Danio rerio: one gene and its partners. The protein of the gene in region 1 interacts with the protein of each later gene in a pairwise test. Links are inferred from orthologs where the notes say so. Each region holds a gene or a part of one and is shown on either strand. Other genes may lie near its edges. The genes, in order: htt, crmp1, ostf1, trafd1, gapdh, hoxc4a and tcerg1a.

The links.
Region 2: the proteins of htt (region 1) and crmp1 interact in binary tests that used the Homo sapiens proteins (3 or more experiments, as listed by UniProt). The link is inferred for Danio rerio from reciprocal best matches to the Homo sapiens genes HTT and CRMP1.
Region 3: the proteins of htt (region 1) and ostf1 interact in binary tests that used the Homo sapiens proteins (3 or more experiments, as listed by UniProt). The link is inferred for Danio rerio from reciprocal best matches to the Homo sapiens genes HTT and OSTF1.
Region 4: the proteins of htt (region 1) and trafd1 interact in binary tests that used the Homo sapiens proteins (3 or more experiments, as listed by UniProt). The link is inferred for Danio rerio from reciprocal best matches to the Homo sapiens genes HTT and TRAFD1.
Region 5: the proteins of htt (region 1) and gapdh interact in binary tests that used the Homo sapiens proteins (3 or more experiments, as listed by UniProt). The link is inferred for Danio rerio from reciprocal best matches to the Homo sapiens genes HTT and GAPDH.
Region 6: the proteins of htt (region 1) and hoxc4a interact in binary tests that used the Homo sapiens proteins (3 or more experiments, as listed by UniProt). The link is inferred for Danio rerio from reciprocal best matches to the Homo sapiens genes HTT and HOXC4.
Region 7: the proteins of htt (region 1) and tcerg1a interact in binary tests that used the Homo sapiens proteins (3 or more experiments, as listed by UniProt). The link is inferred for Danio rerio from reciprocal best matches to the Homo sapiens genes HTT and TCERG1.

Annotation. Positions count from the first base shown.
Region 1 is NC_133176.1:44,384,649-44,388,148, forward strand, and holds part of htt (huntingtin), read right to left. Parts: intron 3,163-3,500; coding exon 3,002-3,162; intron 1,245-3,001; exon of another isoform or gene 1,164-1,244; coding exon 950-1,163; 3' UTR 1-949.
Region 2 is NC_133176.1:15,740,466-15,743,965, forward strand, and holds part of crmp1 (dihydropyrimidinase-related protein 1), read left to right. Parts: intron 1-820; coding exon 821-977; intron 978-3,451; coding exon 3,452-3,500.
Region 3 is NC_133180.1:7,429,989-7,433,488, reverse strand, and holds part of ostf1 (osteoclast-stimulating factor 1), read left to right. Parts: intron 1-1,916; coding exon 1,917-1,963; intron 1,964-2,045; coding exon 2,046-2,096; intron 2,097-2,239; coding exon 2,240-2,303; intron 2,304-3,500.
Region 4 is NC_133180.1:29,388,727-29,392,226, reverse strand, and holds part of trafd1 (TRAF-type zinc finger domain-containing protein 1), read right to left. Parts: intron 3,128-3,500; coding exon 3,074-3,127; intron 2,992-3,073; coding exon 2,568-2,991; exon of another isoform or gene 627-2,567; intron 1-626. UniProt on the Homo sapiens protein: Negative feedback regulator that controls excessive innate immune responses. Regulates both Toll-like receptor 4 (TLR4) and DDX58/RIG1-like helicases (RLH) pathways.
Region 5 is NC_133191.1:17,266,832-17,270,907, reverse strand, and holds the start of gapdh (glyceraldehyde-3-phosphate dehydrogenase), read left to right. Parts: upstream 1-1,276; 5' UTR 1,277-1,319; intron 1,320-1,704; 5' UTR 1,705-1,727; coding exon 1,728-1,750; intron 1,751-3,482; coding exon 3,483-3,582; intron 3,583-3,665; coding exon 3,666-3,772; intron 3,773-3,891; coding exon 3,892-3,982; intron 3,983-4,061; coding exon 4,062-4,076. UniProt on the Homo sapiens protein: Has both glyceraldehyde-3-phosphate dehydrogenase and nitrosylase activities, thereby playing a role in glycolysis and nuclear functions, respectively.
Region 6 is NC_133198.1:39,234,219-39,237,909, forward strand, and holds hoxc4a (homeobox protein Hox-C4a), read left to right. Parts: upstream 1-1,201; 5' UTR 1,202-1,209; coding exon 1,210-1,642; intron 1,643-2,162; coding exon 2,163-2,536; 3' UTR 2,537-3,191; downstream 3,192-3,691. UniProt on the Homo sapiens protein: Sequence-specific transcription factor which is part of a developmental regulatory system that provides cells with specific positional identities on the anterior-posterior axis.
Region 7 is NC_133189.1:58,551,654-58,555,153, forward strand, and holds part of tcerg1a (transcription elongation regulator 1a), read left to right. Parts: intron 1-121; coding exon 122-335; intron 336-472; coding exon 473-661; intron 662-1,130; coding exon 1,131-1,398; intron 1,399-1,865; coding exon 1,866-2,102; intron 2,103-3,500. UniProt on the Homo sapiens protein: Transcription factor that binds RNA polymerase II and inhibits the elongation of transcripts from target promoters. Regulates transcription elongation in a TATA box-dependent manner.

The DNA of each region.
Region 1 (3,500 bases):
AAATTCAATTTACAATCCTTTTTCACTTCAAGTGTCAGCAAACGCAGAGCAAAGCAATGTGTCGCCCATGCAAAAGGAATGACTTCAAACTGAGGGTCCTGGAAGTGTAGACAGTAGGGCAGAAATGGCTGTTGTACTGATCTTAGCGAAATCGGATGACAAGTAACATGGAGTTACTCTATTTCTGAGGACTAAAGTATCTAATGCTGTATCTGCGGAAGTCCAAAAGCGCAGGACACTTTTAACTAGCGTCTGTATGATGTTTTTAAGAAATGTCAATATCTTCTTTAATCAGATTGGTTACAGCTGAAAATTCACTGCATTACATTTCTAAAGATGGAGACTCTGCAGTTTAGCCACAGTTTAACATTCTCTGCTACCACATGAAGAGAATTTATACACTTAAAACATCCATATAGACTGTGTGAATGACTTGGGACGCATGTCCACAGAAGCGTTTTTGTGCTGCAGAAACACGAGCGATGTTCTAAAAACGCCCATCGCTTCTCTGACTGTTGAAAGTTTTGAAAAACAATGAGCGTAAAACATACACTCATTGCATGCCTATCCTGTACTTAACTCAGCTCAGGAAAAACGCTTCAGTGGCCAGGTGCACATACTGTGATAGCAGTTGAATATTCTGAATGTAGTGCTGCTTTTCTTATATTTTTAATTACAGATAAATGATGTTCATTGGTGCGTTGTGGCCACAGACTAGTGAAAGTGCAGTTTTGCTTGGATTGGTCCCACTGTCTCTAATAACTATGAACTATTTGGAGCAATCTCGGAGAGTATCATAGCAACCGATTCCACTCTGTAAATCCAATCCAAAGTCTGTCATGCATCCTGGTGAGTGTATGTCTTCTGCTTGGGTGTTATATTACCTTCATTTTGATGCTTAATTTGCCATGGTGATCCTACTGATCTTTTTTTTTTTTTTTGGTCTGTTCTATAGAGACGTGTCTTGGTGAATGCTCTGCAAACAGCACAGTAGTTGGTAATACGGACTACCAGGGGAAGCCACCATCTCAAAGACAGACTGGAAGGCCCTGCGGTCTAACTCCTCATCGATCTGATGTCGGTAGAAGTCCATAGCGACCAAGCAAAAGAGGCTAATGTCCACCGTGTCAGATTTCCCCATGCGGCTGATGACATGAGGCAGGCTACAGCGGAAGAAACAAGTTAAGGAAAACGTGGAGGAAGAGGAAATGGAAAAGCATGAAGTGTGCTGTTACCAGTGCAAGGTAGGGGTGTAACAGTAGATTAATTCATACATTTTTGGTGCAGGCTTTTTGGGTATCATATGCATGTTTAATGCTATTTCACACCTGTAGATTGACGGTTTTGTTCCGAAACAGAGAATAAAATTGTTACAATGTTGCACTTTGTTCATGGTATGGTTCGCTTTCACTCTGCAAAGTTTCTAAAAGGACCAAAATAGCAAGTCACGTGCAAGTAAACTCTCTCACTTAGCTGTCATGCGTCCTTATTTAATCTGTGACAATAAACAATAAGACATTATAAGCAAAAAGCTGCGGTTTAATTTGGAACGGTGACACCCACAAACATACACCAAATATAAATGTAGATTTTCTAATACATAGCCGTTGGCTAAAATTATGCATTACAGGCTTTATATTCTAGAGAGAAATAACAGATAAACCAAGACTGCAGTTGAGTTAATTTTTCTAATGGATAAACTGCTCTCATTAATAGTTCAGCATGCTTTCACTTTCATAATTGACATGAAACGCACATAAACTGGTATAAATGATGACATCCTGCCCTACTCATAATGCTCTCTTCATATAGCCGTATATGCTTATTACATAACCATAATACACTGAGATATTTCCTGGTTTATTAGTCCGTTGGATCGTATTGCTTTCTCACTACAATTGATCCTCTCCAGAGTTCGTTTCAATCGAGCCAAAACCACCCCATTCAGGCGATTGTTTTGGCGAGGATCCGAGCGCTATTACTGGGTTCAAATATGCCAAACGAATTATGCTAACTGGGGAAACGCACCAGGTTCTGAAACTAAAGTCTAGGTGTGAAAGCACCCTAGGACACACCTCCTGTCCTAAAAGTGCAAAAAGCCTTGTTTTGTTAATTTTGATGCTTTACTTTAGAATCTTTTCAATTCTGTCAAATTTATTAGGGACAATCAAACAATAAATACTGTTTTGACATGCTTTGATGTGGCATGTCAGATCGCTATATTGATGCCCGATTTACAAATGGCAGCAGAATGCAAGTCAATCATTACTTCCTCACTACTAATTATAGAGTAAAAAAATGCACATCTCTCAAATTTTTTTTAACTCTATTAGCCTATTTGTTAATAAGGCTTTATTACTGTTATTGATGCCATAGTTATTAGATGTATAACTTTGAAGACATATGGAATAATGTGTAAAAAAAAAAGTACAACTTCTATTTTATAATTAGATTTAAATGTAAAAACTGCCTTTTGAGCAATTTACCTGTTAGCATAAAACAGTTTGCAGAGTGTTTATTTTATTCAAATATAAAAGTAAATAATTGATTAATATGGCCTTTGTTATTAATTCCCTTTATCATTATATTAATGTAAAAAATAATAGTGCAGCTTCATCTATACTTTACAGCACAGGTGTCAAACTCAGTTCCTAAAGGGCTGCAGCTCTGCACAGTTTAGTTCCAACCCTAATTAAACACACCTGATAAAACTAATTGAGTCCTTCAGGCTTGTTTGAAACCTACAGGTAAGTGTGTTGGAGCAGGGTTGGAACTAAACTGTGCAGGGCTTCAGCCCTTTTGGAACTGAGTTTGACACCCCTGCTTTACAGCATTAGCTGTAATAGGTCAAGAATTTAGTTTACAACTGAATTCATATAAAGACAATATCTTCAGTAAACCTTTGTTTAAAAAACAATGTTGTAATGTAATTTCAAAACAGATTTACACACTAAGGGGTGCATCAATTACAGCAATCAAAAGATAATTTGTTTAAGGATACAGGGCAGAGATCCACTGGCTGGTCGAGGCACTGACAAAGAAACAGGACAGGCTCCACATGGCCATGGCGACAGGCGTTCTCTGTGTGAAATTGGACAGTGAGAGCAGGACCCAATCCCGGACCATGGAGGACTGACCAGTGGCATGAAGCGTCTGAAACACCTGTAGTAAGAAGTACAATTTCAGTATCATCCAGCGACTATTTTAGCTTTTATTAATAGTTGAATTTTTATTTTGTTTTCATTTTACTTTTAAAGTTTTAGTAATTCTAGTGGAGTTTTTTTGTCATATTTATTGTCACATTTATTCCAATTTATAGTTGAATTTTTTATCGAGTTATAATTAAAGAATATTTCCGTGACAACTGCCTGAATACAATAATTATTTATTTATTCACCAAACATTTATATTGTTTAAGCATTAACTTTGGCTACACTGACTTCTTGTAGCTCAACTAGTCACAGTTTGATTCCCAGGGAACTGATCAAATGTGTAATTTG
Region 2 (3,500 bases), about 29 Mb from region 1:
GCCTTATATATAGCTCCAAATAGTGTTTACCATGCTACTCTAAATATTCGCTCTGAAATAGCATGTAAGTATGGCTTAGTAAGAAGTCCTGTACACCGCCGGCCAAACAATAAGCATTCAGTAGTTGCTTCAGGACAGCGCGTGAGAGAGTGAGTGATCCTTGCATGCATGAAATATTGCACATTGACAAGTTTTGCTTGCTACACAACTGAAAATGTGCTAGATATAATACAGTTTTGTTCAGAATTGTAGTATTATAAAGGACTATAAAGTTTTCTAACTGGTGAATGACATGATCTAGTGGGCCTCTGTCATCTTTGATGAGCATGTTCGTGATTCCAGGAGGTGTGGCTGGAATGGCAGGGGAGGGAATGGGTTTCAAACATTATGCTAACCGGTTAGCATTTAGGCACCTTTAATTTTGACACATTTCTTTTTTTTTAATAAGAAAGTAATTTGCCCTTATGTAGAAAATGCTTCTTGATTTAAGAATTTTTAGATAATATAATATATATTCGGTGTATAATACATAATAATACATATATATATGTATAATTATATATATATATATTATATATATATAATTAATTTCTTGATATAATTAATTAATATCTGTAGTTAATGAATTGTAACAATGATGTTTTCTCTGACCTACAGTCTGCTTCTGTAGAATCAGTCTATTCTGTTCACACTCATTTAAGTTAAATCAATGTGACATCTTACTAGACAATTGCAGTATCTAGCAAAACTCTATTTTAAAAGACTTACACACCCCAACCGTTAAGTTTTGGATGTATTCTCTTCACTGCACCGGCTTTAGGCTCTGTTGTTTTCGGTGAGCCAATCACAGCCAGCTTGGCAACAGACGGATCTCACTATTGGAGCAAAAACTGGGCAAAAGCGGCAGCGTATGTGACCTCTCCACCCCTCAGCCCTGACCCGACCACACCAGAGCATCTTCACTCTCTGCTGGCCTGGTAAGAACATTTGGACTTATTTCAATCATTGTGATAGATGCAGCATAACACCGGATCCTTTGGATGAAGGCCACGACTGACATCATTCAGCAATTTTCTATCTACTCTCTCGATTACTTCAATGCAACACCCAAACCAAAACCACAGGCACACCTTTTCCTGCCCCCGTTTCTAAAAATAGAACAGGCTTTCATCGCTTGTTACCATGGTTACACAGCACCCTCCTTCTCGCTCCCCACCACACACACACACACACACACACACACACACACACACACACACATAACTTGTGGACTTGCAGGCTGCTACTATGGGAGAAATGTCATTATGCTGACATCCACAGCCACACAGAGGCAGACTGACACAGCTGGAGAGAGGACATTTATTTTTAGCATAGACAGATTAGCGGAGCCCAAAGATTAGTGAAAATGCCTGAATATTTCTAGAAAAGAATGTTCATTTATTGTTAAACATATGTATACTGTGAAGACAAACTTTAGTTGTGCTGTATTACTGTGAAAAGTGCTAAACAAGTCAACTTGAATTATATTGTGTAGATGTGCACTGTTGCAAAGAAAATTTCATTTCTGGATGATTTTTTCTTTATTTTATCATTAAAATGGTATTATTAACCAAATTGTTGCATATTATGTCTTATATTTTAGTAAGTTAAATTGTTTAAGCTGATAAATTGAAATTATTTTAAAAGATTGGTAATTTAATGGTTAGCCTACATGACTGTAACTCGATTCAGATTGCTCAGTAAATACATCTATTGTATCTGTCGTTGGTGGAAATATCTTAAAAATAAATACAGTGCTCAGCATAATTGAGTACAGCCCATTTTGAAAATGAACATTTTTCTCCATTTCTCAGTAAATATAGGCAATGTATTTTGGTGCATTTGAACAAAACAGATTTGTTAAACAGATAAATTTATTAACATAATATTTAGCCGCCAAACTTATTTAAAAATGGGAAGATAATACAATTAAATTTAGGCAAAATATTGCAAAAATAAATGACAAACTACACAATTTCAACTAAATTAAAAAAAAAATTTGCTTCTCTTAATTTTTCCTCTTTTGTAAATTTGTATTTAATATTTTCTATCACATTTGAACCATTATTATAAGTTATTATAATGTTAGATAAGCTGCTGATTTGGCTTCAGTACTGACTAATCTAATGTATATGCCCAAATATAATATTGTATAGTCTCCTATTAAAATATGAATTTAAAAGATAGATTTGTGAGGGGTGTACTCATATATGCTAAGCACTGTATGTTCTGTCTCCAAAATAATAGCAAAGCTGGTAAATCAAAGGATAGATGAGATGTTCGTTGTCATTTTTGTAATATTCATCCAATATTTAATCAATCTAGGATTGCAATAAATTGTTAGCAGTGCAATTATGATTACATTTTATTTGATGAAAAAGTACTTAATGTAATGTATTCATAATAATATATTAATATTTATAATTTAATTAAACTTAATAATTCAATAAAGCCTTATAATAATTATACTAATAATTCGGCAAGAACATAAGGTGACAGTAGACCTTTTATGTTGTGAAAGATTCACATTTAAATGAAATTATCCTTTTCAAACCATTCATCAGAGAGCTTGTTCACATGAATACATTTCATCTAAAAATATAGTAAAATAAAGAAATTTTAATAGTGTTTTACAATATTAATTTTACAGTATTTATGATCAAATAAATGCAGTCTAAAAAATGTCTCTAAACATAATGTATATTTCCATGACCATGACATGTTATGCAGCCTCAAATATAAAAAATAGGTCACAAACAAAAAATCATCTAGCTCTGGAAGACCCCATAAATACCCTTGTATTAATGAAGCGTGTTAGAATATTTTTTTCTTTGTTATTTATTTCTAAATCCAAGTTTTTTTTTTTTTTTTTTTAAAGAAATGAACTCATTATACTCAGCAAAGCGTGACCAGAAATATTTTTTCAGAAGATTTAACATATATTAGTAATGTTAAATTTATGTATTCCAACTTATGTATTCAGTTATGTATTCATTTGTTTGTGGTTTTTAATTGTATATTTTTAATTAAATGTTTTTGCATTGCAAATAGCAGTTGTGGCTAACATGTCATAAACTATGATAGGATGATACATGACATCTTATGATATGATATATGATATGATATATGCTATGATATGATATATAATATAGTATGATACGATATGATATATTTCTGAATAAAACAGCATTTCGAACTAGAAAAAATATAATGGCTTGCTATTGGTGGATCTCATAGTGACAAGTTGTCCTGCTCTCTCATCACTAATCACTCACTCAGCCAACTGTGTTCAGAGATAGCAAGATAACACATGATGTTTCACAAACTATGGACGTTCACAAATAAATGGTTTATAATAAATACTGCAGGATTGCAAAAAATAAAAACTGTGACCTAAATGTTGTTTTTGCAGTGGGGATCTGCAGGTTGTGGGCAGTGGACATTGTGCATACAGCACTTCT
Region 3 (3,500 bases), on another chromosome or scaffold:
TGGTTTAGGCACAAGCCAACAGTTTGGTGACGCTGTCTGAGCCTTCATAATTTTTAAAAATATGCAGGGTAATACCGGATACCGAGGTAAAATAGGGAGGAGGTTTGACGGTATCAGAGTTTGGATACCGCCCAAGCCTACATTCCATTAGGGTTGTCTTGATACTGGAATTCGATACCAATCAAACATTGAAGCGTTTTAAAGTCACGTAAATCAGCTGGTTTGTCTATAAGCTAACATATGAGCGATCCGCTAAAGAATCACGCCTTTAAAATCCAGTGTGCCGGTATCTGTGGTTACACCAAAGAGCATAGAATCACCAAGTGGCGACACTGTTGTTGTTTGGGAAACAGCCACTAGGTGCCACTAGTGTCCATTTGTGTCCAGCGGTGGCCATTTTGGAATGAAAATTCCAATAGAACAGCAGCATATTACATGTCTGTAAAATAAACTATTAAAAGTGCTGATGATTGTGATAGTAAGTGTTTTATTGTCGTATTTCAGGCTGAATCTCAGCTTTAATGTGCTTTTTAAATAAATACATAAATAAATAAATAAATAAATAAACAAAAAACAAAGCAGCTGCTTGCCATTGTGACAGCAATGAGATACAATGGACAACCGATCGCTTTCACTCCAAAATGGTGCAATCACAGGGCTGCTGCTGGGTACTGCTGTTGCAATGGAATGTTCTATTAAGTGTCGCTTCTTGGTCATTCTAAGCTCTTTGGTTACACTCAGTAAACAGCGGTGAGTTTGGTGAAACAATGACCTTCACGGCCAATCACAGTCATTTCTGTTGAGCATGTGAACACAATGGCAAATCAGCGCTGTTTAAGATCCACACGCCCAAATGTTTGCGGGACATAGACGCTTTTAAACTTTTTGTACCGATTGATATCGAATTGCAGTATCGAGACAACCCTGTATTCCATACAAAATATGAAGCTGACTGGTCAGATCTTGTCACTTGACTCACGGTGTGCACGTGGCATTCTTTCAACTAGGAGTGCCTGGAAAGTGTGTGTGTTGCGTGCCTCTATTGGTAATAACGAACTTGTGCGCACAAAACACTGGATATGTGAACGGCCCTTCAGCATTTAATCCAGTGTGTGTGGGTATTGTGTACAAGCTTATAACTTTACACTCGTGCACAGCTGGCATAAATTTTAGTGGCAGCAGTTTTGTTCTGTGCAGAAATGCCTTTATGATTAATTAACCGTGACTAATTAAAGTACGGTTAATAGTGAAACCAGTTAATCGTTGCTTCCCTAATGGGGTGTACTCACTTATGTAGAGCACTGTATATGTTTTTCCTAATATGGAATGGGTTTTTTTCCAGCATAATTAAAATACATTAGTTTTTGGGTGAACTATCCCTTTACAGGTTTCAAACGGTCATGGAAAACCACGAAAAGTCATGGAATTTTGACATGACATTTTTCAGGCCTGGAAAAGTTTTGGAAAAACAATAAAACCCATGAAGATTTGGAAAAGTTGTGGAAATTTGTTTAACAAATATCTGTTTATTTGAATATAGGCTAGTCTTTGTCATTGGCCAATTCCATGGTCTTACATTATCAGTGCTGTGTAAGCAATATCTAAATAAATTTTACATAGACATAAATGTTAATTTAAACCAAGTAGATGGGGCTTTATTCTGCTGTGGCGAACCCTGATAAATCAGGGACTAATCCTAAAGAATGAACGACTAAAATACTAAATGAATAAATTAAATTTACTTTAAAGTGTTGGAAATGTCATGGAATTTTGGTAGTAAAAATGTGTATGAACCATGCCTTAACAGGTAGATTATTTCGTCTTTTATGACCAAAACACAGGTCACTGGGCCTGAAATGTGAATTAATTGCTTTAATCATCAGTCATGATCTGTTATTTATCTGTGTTTTAAACAGGTCAGGTCAAGGTGTACCGGGCTTTATTCACCTTTGACCCAAGGACGGTGAGTTCATCTTTTTTTCTGCTTGATTGAACATTGTTTGTTTCAGTTCGTCTGATTTGTGATTTGTTTTCCTCTTTTTCAGCCGGATGAACTGTACTTTGAGGAAGGTGATATTCTGTATATCTCAGATACGGTAAGTTTATGATCTGATACTTCATGAAGTTATGAAGTACTGTTACTTCCTCTTGTCATGATGGAGATAAACAGCATTATATTCATCAGAATTTGTAGCAGTGTTTGTGAATTTGTATTGACTGCTGGGTTTATTTTGTTTAGAGTGACAGTAACTGGTGGAAAGGGACATGCCGGGGAAGGACTGGTCTTATTCCTAGCAATTACGGTAAGAAAAGCAAACTACAGTAGTCAACTTTTAAAGTGGATCAAAACCTTTACATCAAAGTCGTCTTAAAACTATTTAACAACATCCATTCTGACCTTAGGAGACTTTTGAAAAACTTTTTTGATCCACATGAAATGTTGATTACAGTAGATCCTGCTAACCATCAACCCTTTAAACGTAATGCTTTAGTGAATGAGATGACTTTTGGGAAATGTAAGGGATAATTCACCTGAAAAATAAAAAGTTAATTTAGGGTCTATTCACTCCAGGAAAGTTTGTTAGTTCACTTGCTTTGGTCATGACCAAATTTTGAATTAGTTTATTTTTTCATTATTTGATGCGGTTCGCTTTCATACTGCCTAGAATGAACCAGAAATTGTAAACAAAACCACATTTGTGCTAAAGACAGCCATTTGTACGCTTATTTCATGCGGCCGCCATTTTACAAAGAAAAAGCAAGGCTGCAGTGGGAAGAAACCTGGAAGTATTGGATGCTGGGGTAAGCATCAGTAATATCATCCAGTTAAGTTTAATTTAAACAATTAAAAGCATATTGGGTATCAAACAACACCATAATCTCTTTAAAGTGCCATGAAATCCCTGTCTCAGCAGGATGTTTTCATGCCTCTAGTTTGGAAAAAGTCAGGAAAGTTGGTGTGTCCAGCTCTGTTTAGGTGGGAGTGTTGGGGGAGGGAAAGAGGTTAAGATTTTGCATAAAAATGGGAGTTTCTGTTTGGGCACGTGCGGATTTTCACAGAGGCAAAACAAACACACAGACGCAGGAGAGAAAGACAGTGACTGAGTTTACATGGACATCAGTAGTCAAATTATTTGCCAAATAATTAATTTGTTGACTTTAACTGCAGTTTGGCACTTTCACTTTCATTCAGGAACATTTCATGCATGCCCTTCGTAACAAACGTGATATGGGATGCGAGTAAGAACTGCTGGAAGAGTGTAGCTTTGATGGAATGTTTGATACCACACGTCAAATGAGAGAAGAAAAAAATAATCTGCATTTCCCGGTAACTTAAATGTACTCGGTAACATATCGTCAGAAAGCTGTGTGTAAACTGTAACTATCAAACTAATGTGACGTCACGTTGTACTCGCCGGTACAGACATCCAGCCCTGTGCAGAGACTATCTAAGGGGCATGTGCAGGATAAAATTTCTGAAGAGCGGGGGCAATTCAGAT
Region 4 (3,500 bases), on another chromosome or scaffold:
GTTGCAGCGGTTGGGGATGGATATACCGGCGTTTGTAATGGTCTGACGGAGTTCGGCGACTGTCATTTTATTTGAGATGAGGGATGAGGATCTTGCAGATGCGTATGATGAAGATGGAGAAGGTAAGTTGCGGTTTGGGGTTATGGGGGATGGAGACTGTGTACGGCGATGGGTCCTTGAAACTGTAGAGCGGATGGGTCTTCTGCCTCTTATGGGAGCTTCGGTGTTTGTTTGGTTTCCGGTTGGGGCTTGTTGTCCTTGTGCTGGTGTTCCTAGGGGAGCGGGTGTATCGTCTCTTTCCATGATGTTGTTGTTTAGTTGATGATGGCGTGTCCGTTGAATTTTTTGAGTTTTGTTGTTGCTGTCGTTGTTGATTTGTAGTAGGTTGGTCTAGGTTGAAGTTAATGTCGCAGGCGATGGTATGGTAGATGAAGATTTGAGGATTTGAAGAGGAGCTGTGTCCGTCCTTCTGTGCTTCTTCGGAAAACGAAGATAGGGGTGTACATTTTAGCTAGGTTATTTATAGTGGGTTTGGATCGTTCGGATTGGCTAGCTAATGAGCTTAGATGAGTGGCCGGCTGCAGTCAATCATATCACGTGCTCCTCTCGAAATTAGTTTATGAAACTTCATATAATATTCTGGTGTAGGTTTGAAACGCATTCAAAACCTATTGTTTATTGTAGGGATAAACTGCTATTGCATTTTGCCTACACAATATTCAGAATATTAGCTTTCAAATTATTCACTTTCTCACAACGTACAGTATTTACACCACCTGAGCGGCATTAAACAGTTTCTGTAAAGAGTCTGTGGAGTGACTATGACTAAAGTCCCTTTAAGGCAAGGTATTTCACTCGGCAGCCATCTTTGAAACTCTTCTCGAGCAGTATGCTTGTGCATTCTGTCTGAATGGAGAAACATCAAATTCTCCAAAACTGCTTGCCAAGCTTACCATTGAATTTCATATTAGAAATCACCAATAAAATTAAACAACATCCGTCTCTTTAGTTTCATTTCTAAACGTCTAATCACATAAAATCTGCAGAAATTCACGTCTGGTCCAAACCCCTCCCCCGGAATATCTTCAGTCTATAGTGATCGATGATTGGCTCCTGTACAAGAAGGTGGGTTTTATCCGTCATATAGCGATCGATAATTGGCTACTGTACTAGAAGGTGGACTTTATTCACTATAGTGACTATTACACTTTACCCTATTCAAAAAGATGTGAGTGACATGGCTTGTGTGTTCTATAGTCTTTGCTGTAACGTAGGAGATAAAAATGGATACTTTTTGTTTTGATTATTTTGTGAATGAAGTTTTTAAACAAATGCTGGTTCTCGCCACTTTCTTCCCACAATGAGTGTGAGTTTTAACCATTGTTATAGTAGCAGCATCCCACGCATTTCCAGAGTAAACGCCGGCAAAGAAACTTCACACAGTGGAGCATAGAAACCAAACTGCCAACTAAATTTCAGAAGTGTTATTGCAATGTAACGCTGACAGAAAGCAGAAGTATAAATGCTCACAATGACATTGACTAAGTGCAGGGGATGCGCCCTGGGTACAGGGATAGCTTGTCGATGATGGATAATTTGTGCTTTGGAGAGATCTTCTGGAGCATGCGACTCAACTCCTTGCTTAAGCTCTTGTTCTGTCCAGACTGGATTATTGTAATGCACTCCTGGCAGTCCTTTTAGTCATTATTGTCAACTGATTTAAAATGTGGCAGCAAGAGTGGAAGTTAAAGAAAAGACTGCAGGTCATAGCTCTGTTCATCAGTTTGCACTAGTTGCCAACTGGCACTCATAAACGTCACATTAAGCCATTGACGTTTGCTTATAATACAACAACTGGCTGTGATACCTTTTAACTAAATTCACTACTTCAGACCTCTGTCTACTGCAGAAGCTTCTATTCTGCTCATGAGGTGCCAGCCAAAGAGCCATAAAATCACTTTTACCTTAACTGTTCTCTGCTGGTGGAATGACCAGCCTAACTTGACCCAAGCAGCTGGATCTCGCAATTTTCACATTATTTTCTAATTCCGTTCATTCATTCAAATTTTGTGTTAAAATGCTGTGCTTGACTAACTGAGACTTGTCACAGCAACTACATATTGTTGGTCTTAATGCTTCTATTTTCCTCATTTGTAAGTTGCTCTGGATAAAAAAAAAGTCTGCAAAGCAGTTAAAGCAGATGTATGGCTTTTTTGTAGGAAAATTAAGGCTGCTCTGTGGCATCCTAAAATTCTTTATACAGGCACAATGCAGCATAAAAAGCAAGGCATTTGCTTTGACCCACCTTAGTACCTAGTATAACAGCATGCAATTATGTTTAATAGCATTTCCGCAACCCATGGCTGTATAAAAGACATCAGGTTGTGAGTTCAGAAGTTGTTCTGTGGCAACTTTGCTATGAAAAACTGATATGGCAGAAATAAGCATACACAATTAAAGCTATAGATTAAGATAGAGTCTAGTATATGCAGATAACCAATATATCATGAATTTTACTCTAAATGTTGTTTCTAAATAATTAATAAAACAAGATGAATAATACATACAATAAGCAAATTCATTGTTCCTCGTTTCTGTGTTTCTCCTGGTTCCTCCTCTCACTGTTCCTCTGGTACTGTTATGCAGTCTGTCCTCAATGGGTCGTGGTGGGCCTCTGCGGTCTGCTGCCCCGGTGTTGTTGTTATTATGGCTCCTTTCCTGGGCCCTCAATAGGTTATGGATGGAATGTGTCTCAAACCATGCTCCAGGAGACTGGGGCCCTGCCCTACTACTGTGCCTCTCCTCAGGTGGAGTCAGACTTCCGCACAGGGCTGGATGGATGTGTTGTTCTCTCAGCATAACATTGCACTTGCAGACGGGACAGGGCTCGGTGCGGGTCCCGCAGTACTCCTCATGCTCTTTAGCTTGAAAGGAGGCCAGCTCTAGATCACAGAACTGACATGGGACCAGTCGATGACTGCATTCTGACCTCTGAGAGGAACAAGAAGTTGTTAAATCTACAGAAGTCATTAATGAAAACATAAGAATAGCTGTTCATAATGCACAATGGTACCTGGTGGGTCTCCAAGAACCTTTTTTCTATTTTTAATCCACATTTGCACTGTTCCTGTAAAAAGAGAGGATAAGATTGGTAATTAGCAACCTATAATAAAGGAAAACGTTTTAAATATGGTTAACAATATTAATATCATGCTATTTGAAACAAGTCATAAAGTACTTGTCAAAATTAGAAACCTTAAAGGGATAGTTCACTCAAATTATGCAATCATTTACTGGGTTTACTTGTTTTAAACCTTTATTTTTTATTCTTGTTATAAATATAATAAATATAATAAAATTATAAATAATAAAGCTGGAAACCTGTAGCCATTGAATTCTGTAGTATATTTTTGTCCAAAATAAAATAGAAGTCAATAGATACAGGTTTTCAGTTTTTTAAAATATCTTATTTTGTGTTTAACAGAAGAAGGAAACTCATT
Region 5 (4,076 bases), on another chromosome or scaffold:
TACAAACCAACACTGAGTAAAAATAAGTCAAAACAAAGAAAGACTGCATTGTTACAAGTCATGTTTGCAACAAAAGTGGAGAGCTACTTTATAACATTGCACTGACAGCTAATCGCTATAATACATGGATCTTTTTTCAGTCTGTCCTCTGTGCAAGATCTAATAGTGTCTGTGTTAATTACTAGTACAAACCTGTGATTAATTACAGACAAAGGGATAAAAGTTAGCTGCATTTAACATAATTAAAACCAACATGAATGATGGATAACAGAAAGATTATAATGTGATTAATCAAAACTCAATATGCAAATTCATAAAACCATAAAGTCAGTATGCAAATTTGTAGTGTAATTAATCAAATTTGATAGAGCTATTAATGCACACTGTCACTCTCTAAACTCTTGTCACTTTTGATAATGTTTATGTTATGCTACAACCACTTTGGTTTTGCATTTGATTTACTTGCACAGATATGCACATGTGAAGGCTCAAAGAATCTGTGTAGGTACAAAGGCATTGGATTTCCTACTGATGCAAAGGATCGTGGGATGCAGGAATGCCTGAGTAAAAGGGAAGGGTCATGGTCTTTCCTGTAAATGTCACACACTCATGATGAGGGCGATTTGATCTCCTGCTTCATATGCACGGTCTGGGCTAGTTTTAGAAGGTCAGAGTGGACAGACCATCTCAAATATACATATAATACATACTAAATACATTTATTTAATAATTTATTTATTTTAGCCAGTGTACAAATTGCATAGGGTTACAAGCCTAAATTACTTCTGCCTGGTTTCCTTATACATAACCTGCAAACCATTTATTTCTCATAATGCACTACATATTACTGAAGTGCTTACAGAATCATGGCCATTTGAGAAAGCATAATTCTCGATCATAGTCATTGCTTCTTTCATAAAAAGTACAAAGGGAAACTTTGATATGTCACTAGTTATATAATATTTAATACTCTAGCAAAGCTTGGTTATCATCATCATCAGTCATATATGCCATCATCATCATCATCATCATCATTATTATTATTATTATTATTATTATTATTATTATTATTATTATTATTATTATTATTATTATTATTATTCAGTAGATGTAGTAGTTTCATTCACTGTACCCCAGTACGACCTTGACATTCTAAGGGGGCGTGGTACTTATAGCCTAAAGTCCAGGGGGCGTGGTACTTATAGCCTAAAGTCCAGGGGGCGTGGTCAATGCTATCGCACCAGATATAAATTATCCTCGTGTTCGTAATCAGTCCACTCACACCAAGTGTCAGGACGAACAGAGGCTTCTCACAAACGGTAAATTTAGTTATTTCATGTTTCAAATGCTTGAATTATTTAGTGTTTAATTATGTAGTCTTTGCTCAGATTGCGCTGGTGAAGCCTTTGCAAATGTTAGCAACTTTTAAATATATGTGCATGTTAATGGCATGGAGCAACATTTCTAATGAAAGCTGAGAGTTCATGCTCTTTAGAACTTCTAGCCTACATTTTCTGGCCAATTGGGAAATGCTTGAGTATGAATACAACAGGCTACTGTGAACTACAAATGTGTATGAACTTTTTGTTCACTCTCTATCTGTAGTTAGAGGTGTTGCAGTTTCACAACCTGTACTTTGTTCCCATAACGAAAGACGCCTATAATAACGTGTGAATTAATTACAACCTTTTGTTTTCCTTCCAGAGGACACAACCAAATCAGGCATAATGGTTAAAGTTGGTATTAACGGGTATGTACTCCATTTGATTCAAATATGAAAGAAATGAACATTAGGCTGCTTGCAACTTTTATTATTAATTGTTTTGAACAACAGGACATCAGTTTTATTTTATTATAAGCTTGTTTGTTAGTGTTTTGCTGTTAAATGCTTTCTGGAAGTTGTATTAAGTTTTGACTTTCTAATTGATTGTAATGAATGGTTGGAGGGGGTGTCACCTAAGCCAGCCAGTCAAACTGCTTTATTGGTGTTGTGCCATCGCTGTGTACATTGACGTCATCATGACGACAAATAATGGTAATTTTTATCTGTGTACTTGGCTTCTTTGCCTTGTATTTTACTCCAGGTTCAAAGTTTGCTTCGAGTCTGCATTTTACTTAGACCATGTTGTACAGGACTCTGGGTTCAAGAATCCAAGCTTGTGTGTTCTGCATTGAAAAACCCCCAGCACCAGCTGTGACCTTTTCAAAGCTTATTGGGTTGTGTAACAGGAAACTTGATCCTGAAGAGACCAGTACAGGACACATGCATATCGTTCATGTGCACACAACCTGAAACTTTAATGCTCATCCAGGACTGTGCTGTGAAGTTTAGGCACCCTAAATTACAGCACAAGTCTTTTGCGACTTAAAATATCCACCTTTAGATGGAAGTCTGTCTTTAGGCACTCAAAAGGTTATGACCCCAAGTTCACCCCAGTGGTGTCCTTAAGTAGCCTTGGTTCATTTTACAAGCAAGAAATTTATAATAGGCCTACTTTGCATTTTTGCCATGGGTTTATACAATCTAAAGTTATATGAAACTTCAATTATGCAAGTAATTTGACATGGTCTTCAGTTTATCAAATTAATAACTTTAAATACAAAATCCCTTTCTAAAGCCTGTTACAATGTCACTTGACTTTATGATTTGAACACTAATGGCACTGGACAAATGGTCAATCCACATTTGCTAAGAGCACTGGAAATTTTTACCTTTGCCCTGTTTCTCTATCTTTACAGACTTGATGCAAATGTTTTGAAAGTGTACCACTACCATATCAGTGTCTTATCAGTGCATGAAAGTATGTACTGTGATCATTATCGCAGTATCAATAGGCTGCTTTCTTTGACCTATTGATTGAATGTACAGCTGAGTGTTGCAATAAACAAAAAGGGAATTCTGGAACTCCTTGTGGGGTCAGTCCTTCTTTCTCTGCATTTTGTGCAGTGTTGTTGGATGTACTAAAATAGCTCACAATGGCAGCTGGAGGCCTATGGAATTTGTATCCTTGCCTGGAGGACATGCCTCTATGAAGCTGGGGCAAATATTTGTGGAGATCATTCATCCAAAAGCCCATTCTTCATGATCTAGCTCTTAATCTCCTGTAGCACATAGTTGACTTTCCCCAGAGTTTATTTATATTTTTGGTTTATTATTATTATTATTATTATTATTATTATTATTAATAATAATAATAATAATAATAATAATACTATTAATTACTTATTATTATTTATTATTATTATTTATTATTATTTTTTAAAATTAATTTATTTAACTGCTGTCTGCTCCCACTCTCCAATTGACCCAGAGTTACTGCGCTCACAAGGGCACAATGTTTGACTTTGTGCATGTTCAGAAATGGGTCCTTTCTGCCATCTAGTGGATAAGTTGCCTGACTGCGGTTGTTTTCTTTTTTTTTTCTTTTTTCTTTCTTAATGTGAGATGAAAGCAAGTGTTTATGAATGAGCTTTTTTTTCAGATTCGGTCGCATTGGCCGTCTGGTGACCCGTGCTGCTTTCTTGACCAAGAAAGTGGAGATCGTGGCCATCAATGACCCATTCATTGACCTTGATTACATGGCAAGTTCCTTAATTTTTTTTTTTTTTATTTAACTAGTTTTGGGGTTATTTTGAATATATTTATAGTGCTTGTTTCTTCACAGGTTTACATGTTCCAGTACGACTCCACCCATGGAAAGTACAAGGGTGAGGTTAAGGCAGAAGGCGGCAAACTGGTCATTGATGGTCATGCAATCACAGTCTATAGCGAGTGAGTGCGGTTCCTCCAAACTATGCATGGTTTTTATTATTATTATTATTATTATTATTATTATTATTATTATTATTTTTGCAAGCATTGGGCTATGCTCATGATCTCTGCCTAAACAGGAGGGACCCAGCCAACATTAAGTGGGGTGATGCAGGTGCTACTTATGTTGTGGAGTCTACTGGTGTCTTCACTACTATTGAGAAGGCTTCTGTACGTAATCATGGATGTTACATAAGCTGCCTGCAACAACAATTGTTTTTCTGTAACTGAAATTTTGCTCTCCTGGTAGGCTCACATTAAGGGT
Region 6 (3,691 bases), on another chromosome or scaffold:
GACCAACTATTTGAAATGCCAGACAGAAATATTCCCAATAATATTATTTAGCAATGTTTAAGATAAAGGTCACATGCTAACCGGACATAACCTTAATTTCGTTGTATTCCGTTTTTTAAATTTTCCAGTAAAAGAAGGGCCTGTCAGTAGTCGTCTATATGTACCCTGTAGAACCGAATTTGTGTCCAAAACATCAAAATCGCAAATACGTCTCTACAGGAATACATGGGCGACGTAAAAGCCACGAACGCCAAGTTGGGTTTGTATTCGTCCGTCTGAGGCACGTGACTTTGCATGAAAGTCGTGTGTGGTGCTTACCATAATAAATAGAAAAGTTTAAATGAGCAGAATTGCTCAAGAAATTAATGAAAATACTAAGCCAAAATTAGACAGGACGTAAAATTCATAATATGCTGTATGTCACCCATTTTTAAAGATTATTCTTAAGCTTTTGTAGCTTAATTAAACAACGTATCTACCACCACATGCATTTATCATGTATAGTCGTATTTATCGTAATTATAAACTGTATCAATGAAAAGTAATGCAGATTTTCTATGTTCTAAAAATAAATAAAAATAAGAAATGGAGATCATGCAAAATGAGTCACTGAATTTGGAAATTTGCTGTTCCCTTGCATAGAAGCGAATACTGATAGTACTGCAGATATTTGCCTACACGATATAGTATTATAAAAGCATTGGATAATGTAGTGTAATTATTGGCAGTAGATTTTAATACCTTCGATTCGTCCTATAAGTTTAAGAATGATTGCTTTTTTAATATTATTGTCGTTTATATTATATAAATAAATTTATTTATTAAATTGTATAAATAGTTAAACTCTTACAGGTAAGTTAACTAAGAAATATCCCTGGATGCTTTGGCTTGATCCGAGAAGATTTCTCCATTGTGTATGCGGTAGTGGGAAAGTGAAAAGGGGGAGAGCGAGGGAGAGAGAAAAAGAGAGAGAGTGAGAAAGAGAGAGAGAGGAATAGACAGACTGGGAGACTCCGCGGACAATGGCGGAAAATTGAAGGTATATTTGCGAAAGCTGTGGTTCCTTATCCGGGAACTACATCGCCCCATGCCATTGGGCCATCGAATCACGTGGTAAAAGTAACTTTACAGGGTTGCTCGCTAGTAGGAGGGCTTTATGGAGCAGAAAAACGACAAAGCTAGAAAAATTATTTTCCACTCCAGAAATTAATGATCATGAGCTCGTATTTGATGGACTCTAACTACATCGATCCGAAATTTCCTCCTTGCGAGGAATATTCGCAAAATAGCTACATTCCCGAACATAGCCCAGAATATTACAGCCGTGCAAGGGACAGTGGCTACCAGCATCACCACCAGGAGTTATACCCTCCGCGGGCAAGCTACCAGGAGCGTCAGTATAACTGTGCAAGCATCCCTGAGCCTGATACTCAAAGAGGACATGGACTGCCTCACGCGGGGCACCTGCTTGGAAAAGGGCAATCAGCCTCATGTGAGCCCCCACCGTTACCCCTGTCTCCTGCCACCCCTTCGGCTGCATCTTCCGCCTGCAATCAAGCCACCCCGGAGCATCCCAACAGCTCAGCCTCTGCCAAACAACCCGTAGTGTACCCATGGATGAAGAAAATTCACGTCAGCACCGGTAGGCAACTTGAGTGTATTTCTCTTAAGCACTATAAAGCTCGCCCCTCATCCTAACTCTCTCTCTCCGTCTGCCTCACTCCTTTTTACACTCATCCCCTGGCCAGCCTCTGCTACGATAGGATAGAAGCCTTTGAAATGGCACAATTGAGGCGGATTTACGACTAGGCATTGGTAATTACACCCACCATAAATTTTATAGCCGAGGTATACTCTGGGCAGTCGTATCACCATGTGGCTTCTCTTGTTATGAGTGTGCGAGAGAGTGAGGGAGATCTGGGACCAGAGAAAAACTAAGCTTTATAATGTTGCATTAATAATTCAGTGCTGAGTCCAATGTGATTTTAGCCTTATTACAGAAAGCTAACTTTTAGATGTTTTAGCCCACCCTCATTTCCTCTGTCGCCACCATTTCTCAATGAAAGACACGCTTGTTTACCCTATCCTTCCCTCGCTGCTTCTTTTCTTTTTCTATTCTATTCTGTTCTTTCTTTCTTTCCCTTTGCTTCTCCTCTTTCCAGTCAACTCTAGTTACAATGGAGCGGAACCCAAGCGGTCTAGAACTGCTTACACTCGCCAGCAAGTCTTAGAATTGGAGAAGGAATTCCACTATAATCGCTACTTAACACGGCGAAGACGTATCGAGATTGCTCATTCCTTGGTCCTCTCGGAGAGGCAAATCAAAATTTGGTTTCAGAACCGAAGGATGAAGTGGAAAAAAGACCATAGGCTGCCAAACACCAAAGTCAGATCCTCGTCCTCCACGGGCATTTCCTCCGGGTCCAACACAAGCTCAGCGGCTGGCGTTGTGGCGGCAGCTTCCACCACTAACACCATGTCAGCATCCGAGGACCTCTCCGGAACCGAGCGTGGCGAGGATATTACAAGGTTATAAGAGAACTATTTCGAGGAGAGAAAGCAAGATCAAATGACTGATTATTTATAAAATATAATATATTTTGTTTTCGTAGGTATCTTGTGCGTAAAGGGGGTTCCTTTAAGTCCACAGTTATATAAAATGCATGTTATATAGCATGGATTATTGCGAATACCTATGGATTATTTTTTACGCGACACAGGGTTTAATTTATCTAAAACTGAATCAATATGATGTTTGTTTTTGTTATATGTTTTTTCAAGAGAAATGTTTAGGGCGAAGCAGGTTATGGACATTTTATTCAAATGTTATTCGTGGGCCTTTTTGCCCAGCTGCCAAGGTGAAGTGCACAACGAATCTATTTATTTCTCACTTGAGAGAGCTGGTACGTTTTTCTTTTTTGCACTGTAAATGAAAAATGCTATCGTGAGTATCGATAGAAAAAAGATCTTAAAGGTTTTTTTTTTTGTTGTTGTTGGTTTTATTTAAAAGTAAATCATGCTGTGGGTTATCTGTCGTATGGAAAGGTTAAGATTTTTAAATTATCATTTAGTTTTTGTTGTGATGGCGTTGTGTTTAGGCTATTAACAGCAGATTGTTGTGAGATGCAATAAAACCAGTTTAGTGTATTTGTGCTAATTATATTGGTCAATAAAACGTAAGTGTCTATTAGTTTAACCTAGACTTGGGTGACTTTTATTAATATGCTTAAAGATTACACTTCCGCGAATAATTGGCGATCACTTTTTTCTCTGTAATTGTTAAAAGATGATGCAGATACTTTCCGGTTAATGTATATCTTTTTAAATAGACAAATGTAGGCCCAAATGTAAAAACAATGTGATGTTTTAAATAATCTACGCCAGTTGTGTCGAGTGTGTGTGCTGCATGCTTTATTGCAGAAAACTAATTAGCCATTTAATTTCTGCCATAGCATTTCTAATACATGCAACGCAGCCTCATGTTTGGTTTGTGTATGGGTTAGACTAGCTTGGGTTGTGTACTACCCATCACATTACTACGTATTCGATTAATGTGGCACCCAGTTCTGGCCTTTTCGTTTAGGGACCTTACCGCTTTCTATTGTAGAGATTTCTTGCTATTATTTACTTCTCTCAACATGGCTAAAATGTTTCTGACGACCCATTCCAGTATTCAAAAGGCTCATTTTAA
Region 7 (3,500 bases), on another chromosome or scaffold:
TTGTGTGATTAGTCCATATATTGGCCATTATAAATGGTTGTCAGGATATGAGCTGAGTTATGTGGTCATATGTGATTTCTGTCATTAAAGTGTGTGTGTGTGTGTGTGTGTGTGTGTTCAGCATGTCCCAGCAGGCCGCTCTGCGTTTCCCCCCGGCTGTCGCTCCTCCTGCTGCTCCGCCCGCCCGCCGCCAGCCTCTGCTGAGCAGCCCAGTGCCGCCCTACACCCTGATGAGGAGTCCTCCGCCTGCTGCACGCCCGCCCTTCACACGCCTGCCCTTTGACCCCAGCGTGCCCCCGCCCATGGGCACACCGCCGCTGCAGGTGCATTCACAGGTACAGCACGCTTGCTCACACTTGAGGCAGAGTAAATAGTGAGTAAATGTGTTGTTTGTGAGAAATATTCCTTTAATCTGTGATTCGGGATGGGAAGTGAGGTTCTGACTGACACTGTGGCTCTTCTGCTCCTGAAGAGACCCCCATTCATGCCTCCGCCCGGAGGATCCATGCCTCCTCCACCCGGCATGATCTTCCCTCCAGGAATTCCTCCGTCAGTGGCTCCTGCTCCAACTCCTGCTCCGGCTCTGGCTCCTGCTCCCGCTCCCACTCCTTTGGTCTCCACTGAGGAGATCTGGGTGGAGAACAAGAGTCCGGAAGGAAAGGTATGGCTGTGGGTCTGCTTCATTAAAGGCCCTGTCAATTTCTAGAGTACTCAGCTGACTCTGTTTTACTAGAACTTCTATGTTAAGCTGTTTTGACACTATCTACATTGTAAAAGCCCTATAGTAATAAAGATGAATGGCAAAGTTTAAATATGTGTGTTTTTTTAGGAAGATGTTATTAGTCTTTATTATATAGTATTAGTCTGTTAGTCTTCAGGATATCTATGTGGCAAACAGTGGCAAAATTCACATGTAGATGATACAAGCATCCACGTCTCTTTCACCTAAATGGATATATATATATATATAATTTATTTTTATATATATATTAGTTTCTAATAGAATCTGACCAATCAAATGCTCTCCAGTGTCTGCCATGCCCCGCCCCCTCTCACCTGCTGTTCATTTGATGCACTTGAGCACTATGAAAGTGTCAGTAACCCCCTGCTGGTGTGTATTATTCTTACAGGTGTATTATTATAACGCACGCACCCGAGAGTCATCCTGGACCAAGCCGGAGGGGGTGAAGGTGATCCAGCAGGCAGATCTGTGTCCGCTGATGATGAGCCAGGCGGCTGTGGCGGCGGCGGGTGGAGGATCCACAGCTCCGTCCGTCAGCATCCCAGCAGCATCAGCAGTCAGCGGCTCCACAAACACACTCGCGGCCCCCAGCGCCGGCCCCGCCGTGGTCCCCAGCATCACTGCAGCATCCCCTCTGCTGCCCACACCTGCCACAGGTCACCTTCTGATGAACATATCATGCTGTAATATAATAAACATACATGCGTAATGATATTAACAAATCACCCAACACTCCTTGATTTGTTTACTCGTATACTTTATATAGATTTATATGAAGTAATAAAACTGAATGTATTAAATCCATTTTAAAATGTGGTTGATATTATTAGCCCCCTTAAGAAACAGTTCTTTCTGACTATACTGTTGTCCAATGACTTTGCTAATTACCCTAGTGAAGCTTTTACATGTCACTTTAAGCTGAATGCTAGTGTCTTGAAGAATATCTTGTCTAATATTATGTGCTGTCATCATGGCAAGCACTAATGACATTAAATTATTAAAACTATTATCAAAGATTGTCCACTGAACAGGACTGTGAGTTTGTCTCTGTACCGCAGCATCACAGCAGTGTTTATTGTAGGTGTGCTGTGTTGAGTGTGTGTTCTTGTGTTTGCGTCTGCAGTTCCAGATGTGGTGGAGATGCCGTCAGTCGTGACCTCTGCCCCCAGTTCCATGCCAACCCCAATGCCAGCTGTCAATCAACCAACGGTCTCGGTCGCCATGACAACAGGACCACCCACTCTGCCTGTGGCGCTGTCCCACACCGTCCCGCAGCCGGCCACTACAATCCCAGGATTCCCTCCGGTGATGGTGCCGCCGTTCCGGGTGCCGCTGCCTGCCATGCCCATCCCACTGCCTGGTGCGTCTGACCTCGGACCGCTGCTGCTCTCTCTCTCTCTCCTGTCTGTCTCTCTGTCTTCTCTCACCATCTAAACTCATCTGTAGATTAACATGAGAGAGAAGCAGCCTCTGTCTTCATTTACTCTGTGATCAGTTGAGTCTTAAAGGGACAGTTCACCCAAACACGTCATTTCTGCTGTAGTTTATTTACTCTTTACTGATTTTAATCTGCGATACAACAAACATCATATCATAATAATGATGCATATCATCATACAGTACCAGTTCTGTAAATAATATAATAGTTATTTTCTTTATTATTGTTTTATTAAATTATATTCATTTACATATTAGTGCTGGGCACAGATTAATCGCAGTTAATCACATCCAAAAACACAGTTTGTTTTGACAGAGAAAAAAATATTTAACAAAGAAAAAACAATTCAAAGGAGGCGAATAATTCAGATTTCAGTGGTATATTGACCACATGTAAAGGACTATTTTATTTTTTATTTGTGTTTTAAAGTACTCAGAAAACTTCTCATTCATATGTGATCATATTTCTCACTTAATTCAGAACTTAATTTAATATTTATATTAAATATATGTATATTTACTATTAATCTAAAACACTTTTTTTTTTAAATGAATGATTACAGGTCCAGCATAAAAACAAAAATCTGTCTGAATAAAATGCAAACTCTCAAGACTGCAGCTTTCTCATGATGCAGTTATTTGTATATCGCACTCACGTAAATTATGACCTATTACTGTAAACAGTGTATATATGACGTAAATGATAGATAGCCCACGATGTTAATCAATAGAGCTTTTCTGCACATATCAGCATATTGCTCAGGCCCAATTCACACCTTTAAGTATTTCATCTGTTAAGCACAAAACAAGATAGTAAGAAAATGTGGTGCACCGGTAATCATTGACCTCCATAGTATTTGTTTTTCTACTATGGAAGTGAATGGTTTCAGCATTCTTCAGAATATCTTCTTTAGTGCTGAACAGAATACAGGAACTCATGAAGGTTTATGAGCACTTGAGGGAGAGTAAATGTTTGTGTGAACTGCCCCTTTACCTGCTGTGTTAGTGAGGCCTGTAGATGGCAGTGTTTTCATGCGGAGTGTTTCCAGGATCTCCTGGAGCTGTAGATGACGTATGTTTGTGTGTTTTCCAACACTCTGCTTGCTTATACGCTCTTCCAGGTGTAGCAATGATGCAGATAGTCAGCTGCCCCTATGTAAAGACTATCTCTCCTACCAAAAACGGTAATTCCCTCCCCGTTATGGCATGTTAGTAACTGTTGTGCATCTTTTCATTTATCTACAATTCATTCAGTCAGATCACCCACCTGCTATTGAAGATTGTAGTGAGCAACAGCTTGTTTTTAAAGTAATGATATATA